Stegostoma tigrinum: one gene and its partner. The protein of the gene in region 1 purifies or fractionates together with the protein of each later gene. This does not show direct contact. Links are inferred from orthologs where the notes say so. Each region holds a gene or a part of one and is shown on either strand. Other genes may lie near its edges.

Region 1 (7,217 bases):
GACCCTCCGACAGTGCCCACTCACTCAGCACTGACCCTCCGACAGTGCGGTGCTCCCTCAGCACTGACCCTCCGACAGTGCGGCGCTCCCTCAGCACAGACCCTCTGACTGTTCCCACTCCCTCAGCACTGACCCTCCGACAGTGCGGCACCCCCTCAGCACTGACCCTCTGACTGTTCCCACTCCCTCAGCACTGACCCTCTGACTGTTCCCACTCCCTCAGCACTGACCCTCCAACAGTGCGACACTCCCTCAGCACCGACCCTCTGACAGTGCAGCGCTCCCTAAGTACTGACCCTCCGACAGTGCGACACTCCCTCAGCACTGACCCTCCAACTGTGCCCACTCACTCAGCATTGACCCTCCGACAGTGCCCACTCACTCAGCACTGACCCTCCGACATTGCCCACACCCTCAGCACTGACCCTCCGACAATGCGGTGCTCCCTCAGCACTGACCCTCCAACAGTGCGACACTCCCTCAGCACTGACCGTCCAACAGTGCGACACTCCCTCAGCACCGACCATCTGACAGTGCAGCGCTCCCTAAGTACTGACCCTCCAACAGTGCGACACTCCCTCAGCACTGACCCTTCAACAGTGCCCACTCCCTCAGCACTGACCCTCCGACAGTGCCCACTCACTCAGCACTGACCCTCCGACAGTGTGGCGCTCCCTCAGCACTGACCCTCCGACATTGCCCACTCCCTCAGCACTGACATTCCGACAATGCGGTGCTCCCTCAGCATTGACCCTCCGACAGTGCGGTCCTCCCTCAGCACTGACCCTCCGACAGTGTGGCGCTCCCTCAGCACTGACCCTCCGACAGTGCGGCGCTCCCTCAGCACTGACCCTCTGACAGTGCCCACTCCCTCAGCACTGACCCTCCGACAGTGCGACACTCCCTCAGCACTGACCCTCCAACAGTGCGACACTCCCTCAGCACCGACCCTCTGACAGTGCCCACTCACTCAGCATTGACCCTCCGACAGTGCCCACTCACTCAGCACTGACCCTCCGACAGTGCGGCGCTCCCTCAGCACTGACCCTCCGACAGTGCCCACTCCCTCAGCACTGACCCTTCGACAGTGCAGCGCTCCCTCAGTACTGACCCTCCGACAGTGCGGCGCTCCCTCAGCACTGACCCTCCGACAGTGCCCACTCACTCAGCACTGACCCTCCGACAGTGCGGCGCTCCCTCAGCACTGACCCTCTGACAGTGCCCACTTCCTCAGCACTGACCCTCCGACAGTGCAGCGCTCCCTCAGTACTGACCCTCCGACAGTGCAGCGCTCCCTCAGCACTGACCCTCCAACAGTGCCTACTCCCTCAGCACTGACCCTCCGACAGTGCCCGCTCCCTCAGCACTGACCCTCCAACAGTGCGGCACTCCCTCAGCACTGACCCTCCGACAGTGCGGTGCTCCCTCAGGTCTGACCCTCCGACAGTGCGGCGCTCCCTCAGCACTGACCCTCCGACAGTGCGGTGCTCCCTCAGCACTGACCCTCCAACAGTGCGGTGCTCCCTCTGCATTGACCCTCTTACAGTGCAGTGCTTCCTCAACATTGCTTTGGATTATCAGTCTGGATTTTACGCTCGTGTCAGTGCATGGGTGACTGTTCTTATGATGTCAGTTTGGGAGTGTTCCATACTGATCCAGTTGACAGCTGCATCACAGGATGATGAATGGGCAGATCGTTCACTATAACGCAGACGTGATTGCTCCTCGAAAACCTCACCTGAGATTACTGTGTCCCACTGGATGGAGAGTAGGGTGGACATGAGGCACTAGCTGCTTATTTCTGCTTTATCAAGAAGCATTCATGATCCAGATGGTCCCTGCTGAAGCACTGTAACTAATCAACAGAAGTTATCAAAATTAAAAATGACGTATCACAGCCCCGTGATGCCCACTGGTCCCTAAAGTCTTTTATTGTGTCAGGAGACACTCCAGGTTCTCTCTCTCGGAACACTCCGATGCAGATGTAAACACAGAAGAGGGGCAGATACTCAAGTGCTCACTGCCTGGTCTTGCCCATCTCGTCCTTAGCTGGGCCCATGAGGAGGTCCTCCAATCTGCACCACCATTCCGCCACCTCACCCAACAAACTCTCTGTACGGCCTGCCCATATGACAGTGATTGAGCGCATACAAAAATTTAAATCAGCTCCTTAACAAAACTAAACAGGCACTGGAAATGAAAACATTCAACGTAAATGAAAGCAATTGTTTCTTCAAGGCAACAAAAGTTTCTGGCTTCTCAGGTGCTTGCGAGTTTCTTTTTGCTTGGTTTGTTTCCTAACGAAGTTTTACAACACTCTGGTGAGTAAAGGGCATGACCAGAGACCATCACAAAATCATGATTTGAAATTCCACGAGTAAGAAGCTTATTGATTAATGAACATGTCTTTTCTGGGCAAGAACAGATCATGGGGAATGAAGGGGAGGGAGTGCTTCGGGGTGGGGGTAGGCTTAAGGACGAAGGGTGATTTAGAAGTGGGGGGTAAGGAGTCGAGGGAGTGAGGAAGAGAAATGAGTTGAATGAGTCGAGTGAGGAGTGGAGAGAGTGAGCAGGATTGAAGAGGAGAATAAGGGGTGGACTAGGTGAAGAAGAGTGAAAGAGGGAGTGAGGAGGAGTGGAAGGAATGAGGAAGAGTAAAGAGAGAAATGAGGAAAGGAGGAAGTGAGGAGTGAATAGGAGGAGGCATGAAGAGATGGAGTGAGGAGGAATGGAAGGAGTGAGGAGTGGAGGGAGTGAGGAGTGAAAAGGAGGGCAATGGAGTGAAGAGGAGTGGAGGGAGTGAAGGAGTGAGGAGTGAAAAGGAGTGAGATGGAGTGAAGAGAGGGCATGAAGAGGAGTGGAGGGACTGAGGATGAGTGAAAGATGGAGTGGAGGAGTGGAAGGAGTGAGGAGTGAAAAGGAGTGAGATGGAGTGAAGCAAGGGAATGAGGAGGAGTGGAGGGAGTGAGGAGTGGAGGAAATGAGGAAGAATGAAAGATGGAGTGAGGAGGAGTGGAAGGAGTGAGATGGAGTGAAGCGAAGGAATGAGGAGGAGTGGAGGGAGTCAGGAAGAATGAAAGATGGAATGAAGAGGAGTGAGGAGTGAAAAGGAGTGCGATGGAGTGAAGTGAGGGAATGAGGAGTGGAGGGAGTGAGGAGGAGTGAAAGATGGAGTGAAGCGAGGGAGTGATGAGGAGTGAAGCGAGGGAATGAAGAGGAGGAGTGAAAGATGGAGTGAAGCGAGGGAACGAGGAGGAGGAGGAGTGAAAGGTGGAGTGAAGCGAGGGAATGAGGAGGAGCGAAAGATGGAGTGAAGCGAGGGAGTGAGGAGGAGTGAGGTGCGAAAGATGGAGTGAAGCGAGGGAGTGAGGAAGAGTGAGGAGCGAAAGATGGAGTGAAGCGAGGGAGTGAGGAGGAGGAGGAGTGAAAGATGGAGTGAAGCGAGGGAGTGAGGAGGAGTGAGGTGCGAAAGATGGAGTGAAGCGAGGGAGTGAGGAGGAGGAGGAGTGAAAGATGGAGTGAAGCGAGGGAGTGAGGAGGAGGAGGAGTGAAAGGTGGAGTGAAGCGAGGGAGTGAGGAGGAGGAGGAGCGAAAGATGGAGTGAAGCGAGGGAGTGAGGAGGAGGAGGAGTGAAAGATGGAGTGAAGCGAGGGAGTGAGGAGGAGTGAGGTGCGAAAGATGGAGTGAAGCGAGGGAGTGAGGAGGAGGAGGAGTGAAAGATGGAGTGAAGCGAGGGAGTGAGGAGGAGGAGGAGTGAAAGGTGGAGTGAAGCGAGGGAGTGAGGAGGAGTGAGGTGCGAAAGATGGAGTGAAGCGAGGGAGTGAGGAGGAGTGAGGTGCGAAAGATGGAGTGAAGCGAGGGAGTGAGGAGGAGGAGGAGTGAAAGATGGAGTGAAGCGAGGGAGTGAGGAGGAGGAGTGGAGGGATAATGAAGAAAGAACGAGGAGAGAATGGAAAAGGTGGCCTAGGATAGAGGGGGTGTTAGTGGAGAGTTGTTGAGGATTGGGATGAGGGGGCTGAGGTATACCATTTGTTGGGGGGAGGGCAGGGAAGTGGAGGTGGGGAACATATTTATCCCTGCTGCAAACTCTTGGTTCCGCAAAGAGCTTACACCCACCCGGACCCGGGAAACGCTGCACACAACCATCGGAACCGGAAGTGAGCTTTTCGCCGCCGCGCTGTGTCACCGCGCCAGCCTGCGGGGGAGGGCGTTCGGCGGCGGAACCGCTTCCGGCGGTCACAAAGGTAGGCGGCAGTGAAAGCCGGTGGCGGACACCGGGGCCTGGGTCGGGCCTTACCGGCCCCAGACGAGCGGGACGGGGAGATCGGCCGGACCCGGTTGGCCCAGCTAGACCCGCCCTCTCCGGGACTAGCCCCGCCCCCTCCAGGACCAGCCCCACCCTTATACCCAGACCCCGCCTCCTCCCACTGCAGCCCCCGCCTCCGCTGCCTCTCCCTGCTAGCCCGAGCCTGATGGGCTGAAGGGTCTCCTTCCTGTACTGTATGCCCTTTAGATTTAGGTAGGGTTGCTGTTCCTCACCACTGTTGCTGTAGGTAAGTGCCCAAGAAGCCATTCAGCCCCTCTGAATCCTTCAGGACCACAGCAATGTGTTGGATCTGTGACTGATCTCCTGTGTCTCATTTCCCTGAAGTTATTTACTTGAGTAAAAAGCATCAGAGTCACATTTTGATCTGTAACAATTCCATTTGGTGGACGGAATTGCTTTTGGCTTTAATCTATTTTTTGAAGAAGTGAGTTTTCCCTTAAATTCTCAAGCTATAGCTATATTTTCAGTGGTGAGTGGGGTTCCACAGGGCCCTGTCCTTGGGCCTCTACTGCTTGTAATTTTTATTAATGACTTGGATGAGGGGATTGAAGGATGGGTCAGCAAGTTTGCAGACGACACAAAGGTCGGAGGTGTCATTGACAGTGTAGAGGGCCGTTGTAGGCTGCAGCGGGACATTGACAGGATGCAGAGACGGGCTGAGAGGTGGCAGATGGAGTTCAACCTGGATAAATGCGAGGTGATGCATTTTGGAAGGTCGAATTTGAAAGCTGAGTACAGGATTAAGGATAGGATTCTTGGAAGTGTGGAGGAACAGAGGGATCTTGGTGTGCAGATACATAGATCCCTTAAAATGGCCACCCAAGTGGACAGGGTTGTTAAGAAAGCATATGGTGTTTTGGCTTTCATTAACAGGGGGATTGAGTTTAAGAGTCGTGAGATCTTGTTGCAGCTCTATAAAACTTTGCTTAGACCGCACTTGGAATACTGCGTCCAGTTCTGGGCGCCCTATTATAGGAAAGATGTGGATGCTTTGGAGAGGGTTCAGAGGAGGTTTACCAGGATGCTGCCTGGACTGGAGGGCTTATCTTATGAAGAGAGGTTGACTGAGCTCGGTCTCTTTTCATTGGAGAAAAGGAGGAGGAGAGGGGACCTAATTGAGGTATACAAGATAATGAGAGGCATAGATAGAGTTGATAGCCAGAGACTATTTCCCAGGGCAGAAATGGCTAGCACGAGGGGTCATAGTTTTAAGCTGGTTGGAGGAAAGTATAGAGGGGATGTCAGAGGCGGGTTCTTTACGCAGAGAGTTGTGAGAGCATGGAATGCGTTGCCAGCAGCAGTTGTGGAAGCAAGGTCATTGGGGACATTTAAGAGACTGCTGGACATGTATATGGTCACAGAAATTTGAGGGTGCATACATGAGGATCAATGGTCGGCACAACATTGTGGGCTGAAGGGCCTGTTCTGTGCTGTACTGTTCTATGTTCTTTTCTATGTTCTATAGGGGCAGAACTAGGCCATTTGGTCCATCTAACTCTGTTCTGCTGTTTGATCATGGCTGATAATCCTCACCCCTATTTTCTTGCCTTCTCCCCACAATCCTTCAGCCCATTACCAATTAAAAATCTGTGTAACTCCTCCATATATTCACTCACTGTCCCAGCATCCACCTTACTTTGGAGTAGCCAATTCCACAGATTCACAACCCTTTGGGAGAAGCAGTTTCTCCTCAACTTTGTTTTAGATTTGCTACCCCTCATCTTAGAATGCCCCCACAAAAGGAAGAATCTGCTTCACATCTATTTTATCCACACCTTGTATCATCTCGAATACCTCAATTTGATCTCCCCTCATTCTTCTAAATTCTGGAATGTATAGGCCTAAACTCTTCATAAACTCTCGCTTCATATCCCTAAATCCCTCAGCTCTAGGATCAATCCAGTGAACCTCTTCTGAACTGCCTCCAATGCTATTACATCTTTCCTCAAATAAGGGACCAAAACTGTGCACAATACACAGGTGTGGTCTCACCAATGCCTTGCATAGTGTGTTTTGAGAAGATTTGTAGCTCAGGTTGAGGTTCTGGATGTGAGTTTGCTCGCTGAGCTGAAAGGTTCGTTTTCAGACGTTTCGTCACCATTCTAGGTAACATCAGATATTACCTAGAATGGTGACGAAACGTCTGAAAACTAACCTTCCAGCTCAGCGAGCAAACTCACATCCAGAGCCTTGCATAGTCGTAATGATGCTTCTTTACCTTTGTATTCCATTCCATTACCTATAAAAGCCAACATTCCACTTGTTATCTTTATTATCTGCTGTGCCTGCATGCTAGCTTTTTGTGACTCATGAAATGTGTCATTTTTACAACATATCTGTGAAAACTTGGCAACTGCTTCGCAGAACATCTCGCAAAAACATGCTCGCAAAAAAGACTTTGAACTACCTGTTGCCTGCCACTTCAATACACCACCTTGCTCCCTGGCCAACATCTCTGTCTCTGGCTTGCTGCCGTGTTCCAGTGAAATCCAACGGAAGCTGGAAGAACAACACCTAAATTTCCGCTTGGGGACCCTATGGCCCTCCGGACTCAATATTGAGTTCAATAATTTTAAGGCCTAGACTCTCCCATGTCCCAGCGCCCCCCCACCCCACACACCAGGCCTTGTTACCACATAGCCTGCCATTTACACACCCCCTGTTGTTAGTCACTAAAAGTCCCCATTAACAGCTATTCACCCTCTTGTCTAGGGCTTTTTTCATTTGAGCGAAGAAAGATGAGAGGTGACTCGATAGAGCTGATGATGAGAGACAAAACAATGAGAGGCATAGATAGAGTGTATAGTTAGAGACTTTTTCCCAGGGCGGAAATGACTATTACGAGGGGACATAATTTCAAGGTGACTGTAGGAAGGTAAAGGGGAGATGT
Region 2 (8,094 bases), on another chromosome or scaffold:
CTAGACTGGGTTCTGTGGCAGGTGGTGAGGGAACCAACAAGGGGGAAAGCATAACTGATCTCATCCTTCCCAATCTGCCAGCTGCAGATGTATCTGTCCATGACAGTATCAGTAGGATTGACCACTGCCCAGTCCTTGTAGAGGTGAAGACCTGCCTTCACATTGAGAATACCTCCATCATGTTGTGTGGCACTATCACCGTATTAAATGGAACATATTTCAAACAGATCTAGCAACTCATGACTGGCCATCCACGATTGTGTGCCATCAACAACACCAGAATGGTACTCCAGCACAGTCTGCAACCCCATGGTCCAGCATATCCCCCATTGTCAAACCAGGGGACCAAACCTGCTTCAATGAGAGCACAGGAGAACATGCCAGGAGCAGCACCAGGCATACCTAAGCCTGAGGTGTCAAGCTAGACACTGATAAACAATTGCACAACCAATGGATCAGATCTAAGCTCTGCAGTCCTGCCACATCCTTTACAATTAACAGGAGGGGGAGGCTCCACGAATATCTCCATCCTCAATGATGGGGGATCTTCACACATCAGCATGAAAGCAAAAGCTGAAATGTTTGTTATTCTGCTTCAGCCAGCAGTGCCAAGTAGATGATCCATTTCAGCCTCTCCTTGAGGTCTCCAGCATCACAAATTGCAGGCTTTAGCCAATTTGCTTAACTCTACATGATCAAAAGAGCGCTGACAATATTACAGCAACACTGCTGAAGTCTGTAACACCAGAACTAGACGGTCTCTGAGCCAAGCTGTTCCAGTACGGCTGCAACACTGGCATCTACCTCGAAATGTGGAATATTGCCCAGCTATGTCCTGCATACAAAATAAAAGAGCAAAACCCAACCCATGCAATTACTGCTCCATCTGTCGACTTGCAATCATTAACAAAATGATGGAGGGTGTCATCCACAGTGCTATCGAGTAGCACTTGCTTAGCAGTAACCTGCTTAGTGATGCTCAGTTTGTGTTACCAATGACCACTCAGCTCCTGACCTGTTTTCAGTCTGAGTTCAAACATGGACCAAAGAGCCGAATTCCAGAGGTGAGGTGAGAGTGACTGCCCTTGATGTTAAGGCTGCATTTAACTGGGGACGGCATCTAAGAATCAGAGTCCTAGGAAAACAGGAATCAATGGAAATAGGGGGAAAACTCTCAGATGGTTGGAGTCATACCTGGAACATAAGAAGATAGCTGTAGTTGTTGGAGGGCAGTTATCTCAGCTCCAGGACATCTCAGCAGGAGTTCCTCAGGGTAGTGTCCATGGCCCAACCATCCACAGCTGCTTCACCAATGGTCTTCCCTCCTTCGTAAGGTCAGAAGTGGGGATGTTTGCCGATGAGTGCACAATGTTCAGCACCATTCACAACTCCTCAGATACTGCAGCAGTCCATGTTCAAATACAGCAAGACCTGGACAGTAGACAGGCTTGGGCTGTTGAGTGGAAAGAAACATTTGGCCCAGACAAGTACCAGGCAATATCCAATCCCAATAAGAGAGAATCCAATCATCTCCCCTTTGACCTTCAATGACATTACCATCACCATCGATATCCCGGGAGCCACCACTGACCAGAAACTGAACTGAACTCACCCTATAGATACTGTGGCCATAAGATCAGGTCAGGGGTTTGGGATTCTGTGGTGGGTGTCTCACTGCTCTGTCTCTTTGGAGATCATAAGGCATTGTACAATAAAAGACAGAAGAAGTGGTAGTGGTTATAACGTAGATAAGACATAGATTCAGTAGGGTTCTTGTTTGTACTCAGTAAGTTGCTGATTTTAGGTGGTTCAAATCACCCCCAGGTCATTAGGTTCTGACACTGGTCTTACTTAGGGAATGTGGAAGGAAGGAGGCATTAGACAGGTGTTTCAGGTCAAAAGAATCTCTGTGTTTATTTAAATATAAAAAAGGTAATTATGCTACAAGAAATATAGGTAAAAGCACTGAACAGTGAAATTAACACTCCCAAGTATACAGAGGACACTAATTAAATACACTATCAAATTAAACACAGACTAAACATTGTTAGAACCTAAACAGCAGTTTTAATCACAGAAATTTTAATCAGGCTTCCTACCCTTGGAGTCCCACACACTGCCACCACCTGCCTTCCCCTCCCTGCTAGCTAGATTGGAAACTTTGGGGTCTCTGGAGTTTAAGTTTGCCACGAAGGAAAATGCAGTTTTGAAGTACAGCTGGCTGTGGAGGTTCTTATTGTCAGTTCCCTTGGTTCAGAACAGGCTCATGTCCGGACGTTCTGCGTTGTCAAAACCATCAGATTTGCATAGAATTGGTTTTTGGTATCTAAGTGCCTGGTTCACATTGATTGGCTAAATTCAAAACTTGTCTTGGTAAAAGGTGCTGCCTGGCCTGCTAACTGTACGGCCTTATGATACAAATGTTTCAATTCGGGTGCTTTCTGTGTATGCGCAAACTTTCAAGCCGCTGCTCACAGGTATCCATTTTAAATCTCTCAGTGCAGCAAAAGCACATAATCTTTTAAAGGGACCACACAATGCTTCCTGTGCCCCCTCCAGCATTTTACAAACACCAAATTCTAACTTCCTACCTCCCAATCTACAAGTGCTCTACCCAACTTCGCAACACTAAGGAACTACTACGTATGCATAATTTCTTCAGTATAAATTAGACCCACAGAGTCTGCGGCAGCTTCAGTTTGCCCAGAATACTGACAGAGCTGAAATAGTGTATAAGGAGAATGCGGGATCTGTTTGACTCATTCAAGTGGGAGCCCATTGCTCTAGCAGAAGATTTGACCTTAGTTGAAGTTTGGAACTGATGTATGTGAGTTACATGGCTAAGCCCTTCTCATGGCTAGAACAAAGAACAAAGAAAATTACAGCACAGGAATAGGCCATTCGGCCCTCCAAACCTGCACCGATCCACATCCTCTATCTAAACCTGTCACCTATTTTCCAAGATAGTAGGAATCGCAGATGCTGGAGAATCTGAGATAACAAGGTGCAGAGCTGGATGAACACAGCAGGCCAAGCAGCATCAGAGGAGCAGGAGGATCTGATGCTACTTGGCCTGCTGTGTTCATCCAGCTCTACACCTTGTTATCTTACCTATTTTCCAAGGATCTGTATCCCTCTGCTCCCTGCCCATTCATGTATCTGTCTAGATACATCTTAAATGAAGCTATCATGCCCGCCTCTACCACCTCCGCTGGCAATGTATTCCAGGCACCCAACACCCTCTGCGTAAAGAACTTGCCACACATATCTCCCTTAAACTTTTCCTCTCACACCTTGAAATCGTGACCCTCCAGTAATTGAGTCCCCCACTCTGGGAAAAATCTTCTTGCTATCCACCCTGTATGTACCTCTCCTGATTTTGTAGACCTCACTCAGGTCCCCCCTCAAACTCTGTCTTGCATGTAAATAATCCGAATCTACTCAACCTCTCTTCATAGCTAGTGCCCTCCATAGCAGGCAACATCCTGGTGAACCTCCTCTGCACCGTCTCCAAAGCATCCACATCCTTTTGGTAATGTGGCGACCAGAACTGTACGCAATATTCCAAATGTGGTCAAACCAAAGTCCTACACAACTGTAACATGACCTGTCAATTCTTGTACTCAATACCCTGTCCGATGAATGAAAGCATGCCGTCTGCCTTCTTGACCACTCTATTCACCTGTTTCGCCACCTTCAAGGTACAATGGCCCTGGACACCCAGATCTCTCTGTTCATCAATTTTCCCCAGGGCTTTTCCATTTACTGTGTAGTTCGCTCAAACTATGGCAACTATTAGACTAAGACAACACTTTCTTGATTGGGCATGGTATCATTTCAATTGCTCCATGCAGCATCCTATGAAAAATCAAACTAATTCTTGTTGTAGCCTATTAGATTTAGATTTAGCCTATCAGACATCACAAAATCAGATAATAGTCTACAGTTCACTCCAGAAGAATGGATGAAGTGTGGGCATATTAGGCTTTCTAGCTGTGATACATTTGACACAAAAGAGAGATTGAAGGGAAAAGTCCTGCGGAGACAAAGGACTGTGCTTTAAAGACAAGAAAATGTGAGGCTGGTTGAACACAGCAGGCCAAGCAGCATCTCAGGAGCACAAAAGCTGACGTTTCGGGCCTAGACCCTTCATCAGAGAGGGGGATGGGGAGAGGGAACTGGAATAAATAGGGAGAGAGGGGGAGGCGGACCAAAGATGGAGAGTAAAGAAGATAGGTGGAGAGAGTATAGGTGGGGAGGTAGGGAGGGGATAGGTCAGTCCAGGGAAGACGGACAGGTCAAGGAGGTGGGATGAGGTTAGTAGGTAGATGGGGGTGTGGCTTGGGGTGGGAGGAAGGGATGGGTGAGAGGAAGAACCGGTTAGGGAGGCAGAGACAGGTTGGACTGGTATTGGGATGCAGTGGGTGGGGGGGAAGAGCTGGGCTGGTTGTGTGGTGCAGTGGGGGGAGGGGACGAACTGGGCTGGTTGAGGGATGCAGTAGGGGAAGGGGAGATTTTGAAACTGGTGAAGTCCACATTGATACCATTAGGCTGCAGGGTTCCCAGGCAGAATATGAGTTGCTGTTCCTGCAACCTTCGGGTGGCATCATTGTGGCAGTGCAGGAGGCCCATGATGGACATGTCATCTAAAGAATGGGAGGGGGAGTGGAAATGGTTTGCGACTGGGAGGTGCAGTTGTTTGTTGCGAACTGAGCGGAGGTGTTCTGCAAAGCGGTCTCCAAGCCTCCGCTTGGTTTCCCCAATGCAGAGAAGCCACACCGGGTACAGTGGATGCAGTATACCACATTGGCAGATGTGCAGGTGAACCTCTGCTTGATGTGGATTCCACATCTGCAGTTCCCATTATCACTGTGCTTTAAAGATTGCTTTAGGCCAGATGTACCAACCTCTCAGAGAAACTGGAGATGGAGCAGGTACATTTCGCCAGGCCCCCGGGAGATGGCGCTCTGTCACCAGGCTCGAATGCGCTGGCGCGTATTCAGCGCAGTGACTGATGGGAGTTCAAGATGGCGACGCCCATCTGATTCTTCAAATCGGAGTTTAAGTGAATTTTGCTTTTGGCGCGGATTCGGAGCAAAAACCAAATCCCCGGATTTTGGAGGCGGATGGTCGCAGAGAAACCGTCATTAGAAGTTTCACTCGTTATTTTAACAGGTCGGTTCGGTCGTCTTTTATTAATAATAATGACCTGAAATATTCTCATCATTCCCCGATTTCCTTCTTTACCCCAGTGACCCCCTTCACCCGGTTGTACCCCCCCGCCCCACACCCTCCCACGCCCCACCCTACGCCAAATATCCCACCCCACCCCACCCCAACCCAATGTCTCTTCCTCCATTGCTCCCACCTCACCTGACTCCCCCTTTGCCCCACACTCTCCCCATCTCCTGCTCCACTCCCATATCTCCTCCACAACCTGAAATCTCTCACTTCTCGTTATCTCCTTTGGCTCCCCTTCTTCTGCATCAAGAGTTGAGTTATTTTGTTCTGAAGAAGTGTCAATGGACTCAATGTTAGTTCTGTTTCTCTGCTCACAGATCTTGCCAGACTTGCTGAGTTTCTCCTGCACTTAGTGTTTGTTTCAGATCTCCAGCGACTTCAGTTCTTTGATTTATTTTATTTGAGTTACATTGCTGTCTGCACAGCACTTGCTTTGAATTTTAGTTTTTCTTAAGTCGTTGCTTTTCTTCAAGCAGAAATAATGCTGATATCTGGAACCCATGTCGAACGTCTGTGAAGAGAGGGTAACAATGATTGCAGCAGGGGAAATGCAGGAGTTTGTTCCGTTCGGCCGTGACCACTGCAGGCGCCACCCTAATGCCACAAATCTTCAGCTTCGGCAGCTGCAGCCTGCTTCAGAACTGTGGTCCTCTGATGGTGACGCAGGATTGGTGGGATCACTGAGAGAAGTTACAATCCATGAGAAACAGAAGGTGCAGGTTTGAAACTCTCATCTGAAATTATCAGTAACCTCTAAAATGAAGAGCTGACATGTTCTGCAGTAGGTTGCCAAAGACTTTATAATAAAGATTTTGAATTTTCCAAGTTACAGTTGAACTTGTACACATGGATTTTGGGGAATCATCAAAAGGATATTGGGTGGGAAAATGACTAGTAATAGAAATAAATTCTACTTATATTGCCTCTTTCACAACTTCAGTCCCCTGCATCATTGTACACCCAATGTCATCTTGCTCTATAGGAATTATTGCATCCAGTGTACAAACAAGATTTCATAAACATGGTCAGGTAATCGTAGAAGTTCGTAGAATCCCTACAGTGTTGAAACAGGCCCTTCGGCCCAACAAGTCCACACCGACCCTCGGGTCACCCGTCCAAATCCATCCCTCTATAACCCACCTAATCTGCACATCCCTGAACACTATGGGCATTTAGCATAGCCAATCCATCTAGCCTGCAAATCTTTGGACTGTGGGAGGAAACCGGAGCACCCGGAGGAAACCCACGCAGACACTGGGAGAATGTGCAAACTCCACACAGACGGTTACCCGAGGCTGGAATTGAACCCGGGTCCCTGGTGCTGTGAGGCAGCACTGCTAACCACCGTGTCACCCTTAAGAATGGCTGGTTTAGCAACATTGGCTGAGGGATAAATGTTGGCCAGGAAATTCGTGAGAACTGTCCTGCTCCTCTCAGAAGAGTCACAGGGTCTTTTGTGTGCGCACCTGAGAGAGTGCTTTGGCTTAACAGCTCATCGGACCACTCAGACCCTGGATTCCAGCATTTCCTCAGTGCTGTGCTGAAGTGCCATCAACAATTTGTGCACACCTTGCTGGAGTGGACTTGAATTCTCAACCTTCTGACTCAGAATGTGCCAGTACTATTCCACGGCTGAAGTGCATCTGAGGCTTCAGTGCCCCAAGAATAATAGATAATAACACAAAAATAGGTGGAAAGGCAAGTTTCAGGAGACACTCAGACATTTTACAAAAAGATAGTTATACATGAAGTGGACAAGGAAATTGTAATACTTGTGCACACAATGCACAAAGCTAGCACCAGGTGCAGCGGGGTAATCAGGAAGGGAAATGGAATGTTGGCCCTTATTTCAAAAGGATTGGGATATGAGAGTAGGGAAGTCTTTTTTGCAGCTGAACAAGGTGCTGATGAGACCCCAACTGGAGTACTGAGAGCAGTTTTGGTTCCCTTATTTAAGAGATACCATTTCATTGGAGGAATTTGCGAAGGTTCACAGGGATGACCCCCAGCACAGAGGAATTGTCTTATTAGCAAAGATCAAACAGGTTGGGACTCTACTCACTGGAGTTTAGAAAAATGAGAGAAGATCACGTTGAAATCAATATGAATTTTTCAGCGCTTGGCAGGGTAAATGCTGAGAGGGTGTTTCCTCTCATTGGAGAGCCTCAGACCAGTAGGCATAGTCGACTTAAGACTGAGCTGAGGAGGAATTTCTTCTCTGAGAGGGTTGAGTGTCTTTGGAGTGCCACAGAGAGCTGTGAGGGCAGAGTCTTTGTGCATATTTAAGGCTGAGATAGGTTGTTAATTAGTTGGGCAATCCAGGGTTACAGGAAAATGGAAGTGAGGCATGTTGAATCAGCCACAATTCTGTTGAATGGCATAGCAGATTTGAGGGGCTGAATGGCCTACTTCTGAGGGGAGAATATAAAAGAAGTTCAGAATTTTGAAAACATATCCAAGAGTTGACCACATTTTGCCCTGATACATTTAACCTCGGGTGGGTGACTGTCTGTCTGGAGTTTGCACGTTCTCCCTGTGTCTGTTTGGGTTCCTTTGGGTGCTCCAGTTTTGCCCCACAGTCCAAAGATGTGCTGGTTTAAGTGGATTTGCCATGCTAAACTGCCCTGTACTGCCCAGGGGTGCGTAGCCGAAGTGGATTAGCCATGGGAAATGCAGGGTTAGGGTGGAGGGTGGGTTGTGGTAGGATGCTCTTTGGAGGGTTGCTGTGAGCTTGATGGGCTGAGTGGCCTTCATCCATGCTGTATGGATTCCATGATTCTTCTTGCTGCTGCACAGTGCAAGTGGCAACAGGCCAAATGTCTCACCTTGGCCCCCTTCGTATTTTACATCTAC

What was found.
Region 2: the proteins of anapc15 (region 1) and anapc1 purify together in Homo sapiens (affinity purification with mass spectrometry; 3 studies listed by BioGRID and IntAct, with this or other methods). This does not show direct contact. The link is inferred for Stegostoma tigrinum from reciprocal best matches to the Homo sapiens genes ANAPC15 and ANAPC1.

The regions. Positions count from the first base shown.
Region 1 is NC_081359.1:110,845,292-110,852,508, reverse strand, and holds the start of anapc15 (anaphase-promoting complex subunit 15), read left to right. Parts: upstream 1-4,128; 5' UTR 4,129-4,244; intron 4,245-4,250; exon of another isoform or gene 4,251-4,553; intron 4,554-4,604; exon of another isoform or gene 4,605-4,751; intron 4,752-7,217. UniProt on the Homo sapiens protein: Component of the anaphase promoting complex/cyclosome (APC/C), a cell cycle-regulated E3 ubiquitin ligase that controls progression through mitosis and the G1 phase of the cell cycle.
Region 2 is NC_081357.1:20,343,958-20,352,051, forward strand, and holds the start of anapc1 (anaphase-promoting complex subunit 1), read left to right. Parts: upstream 1-5,021; 5' UTR 5,022-5,175; intron 5,176-5,717; 5' UTR 5,718-5,741; coding exon 5,742-5,960; intron 5,961-8,094. UniProt on the Homo sapiens protein: Component of the anaphase promoting complex/cyclosome (APC/C), a cell cycle-regulated E3 ubiquitin ligase that controls progression through mitosis and the G1 phase of the cell cycle.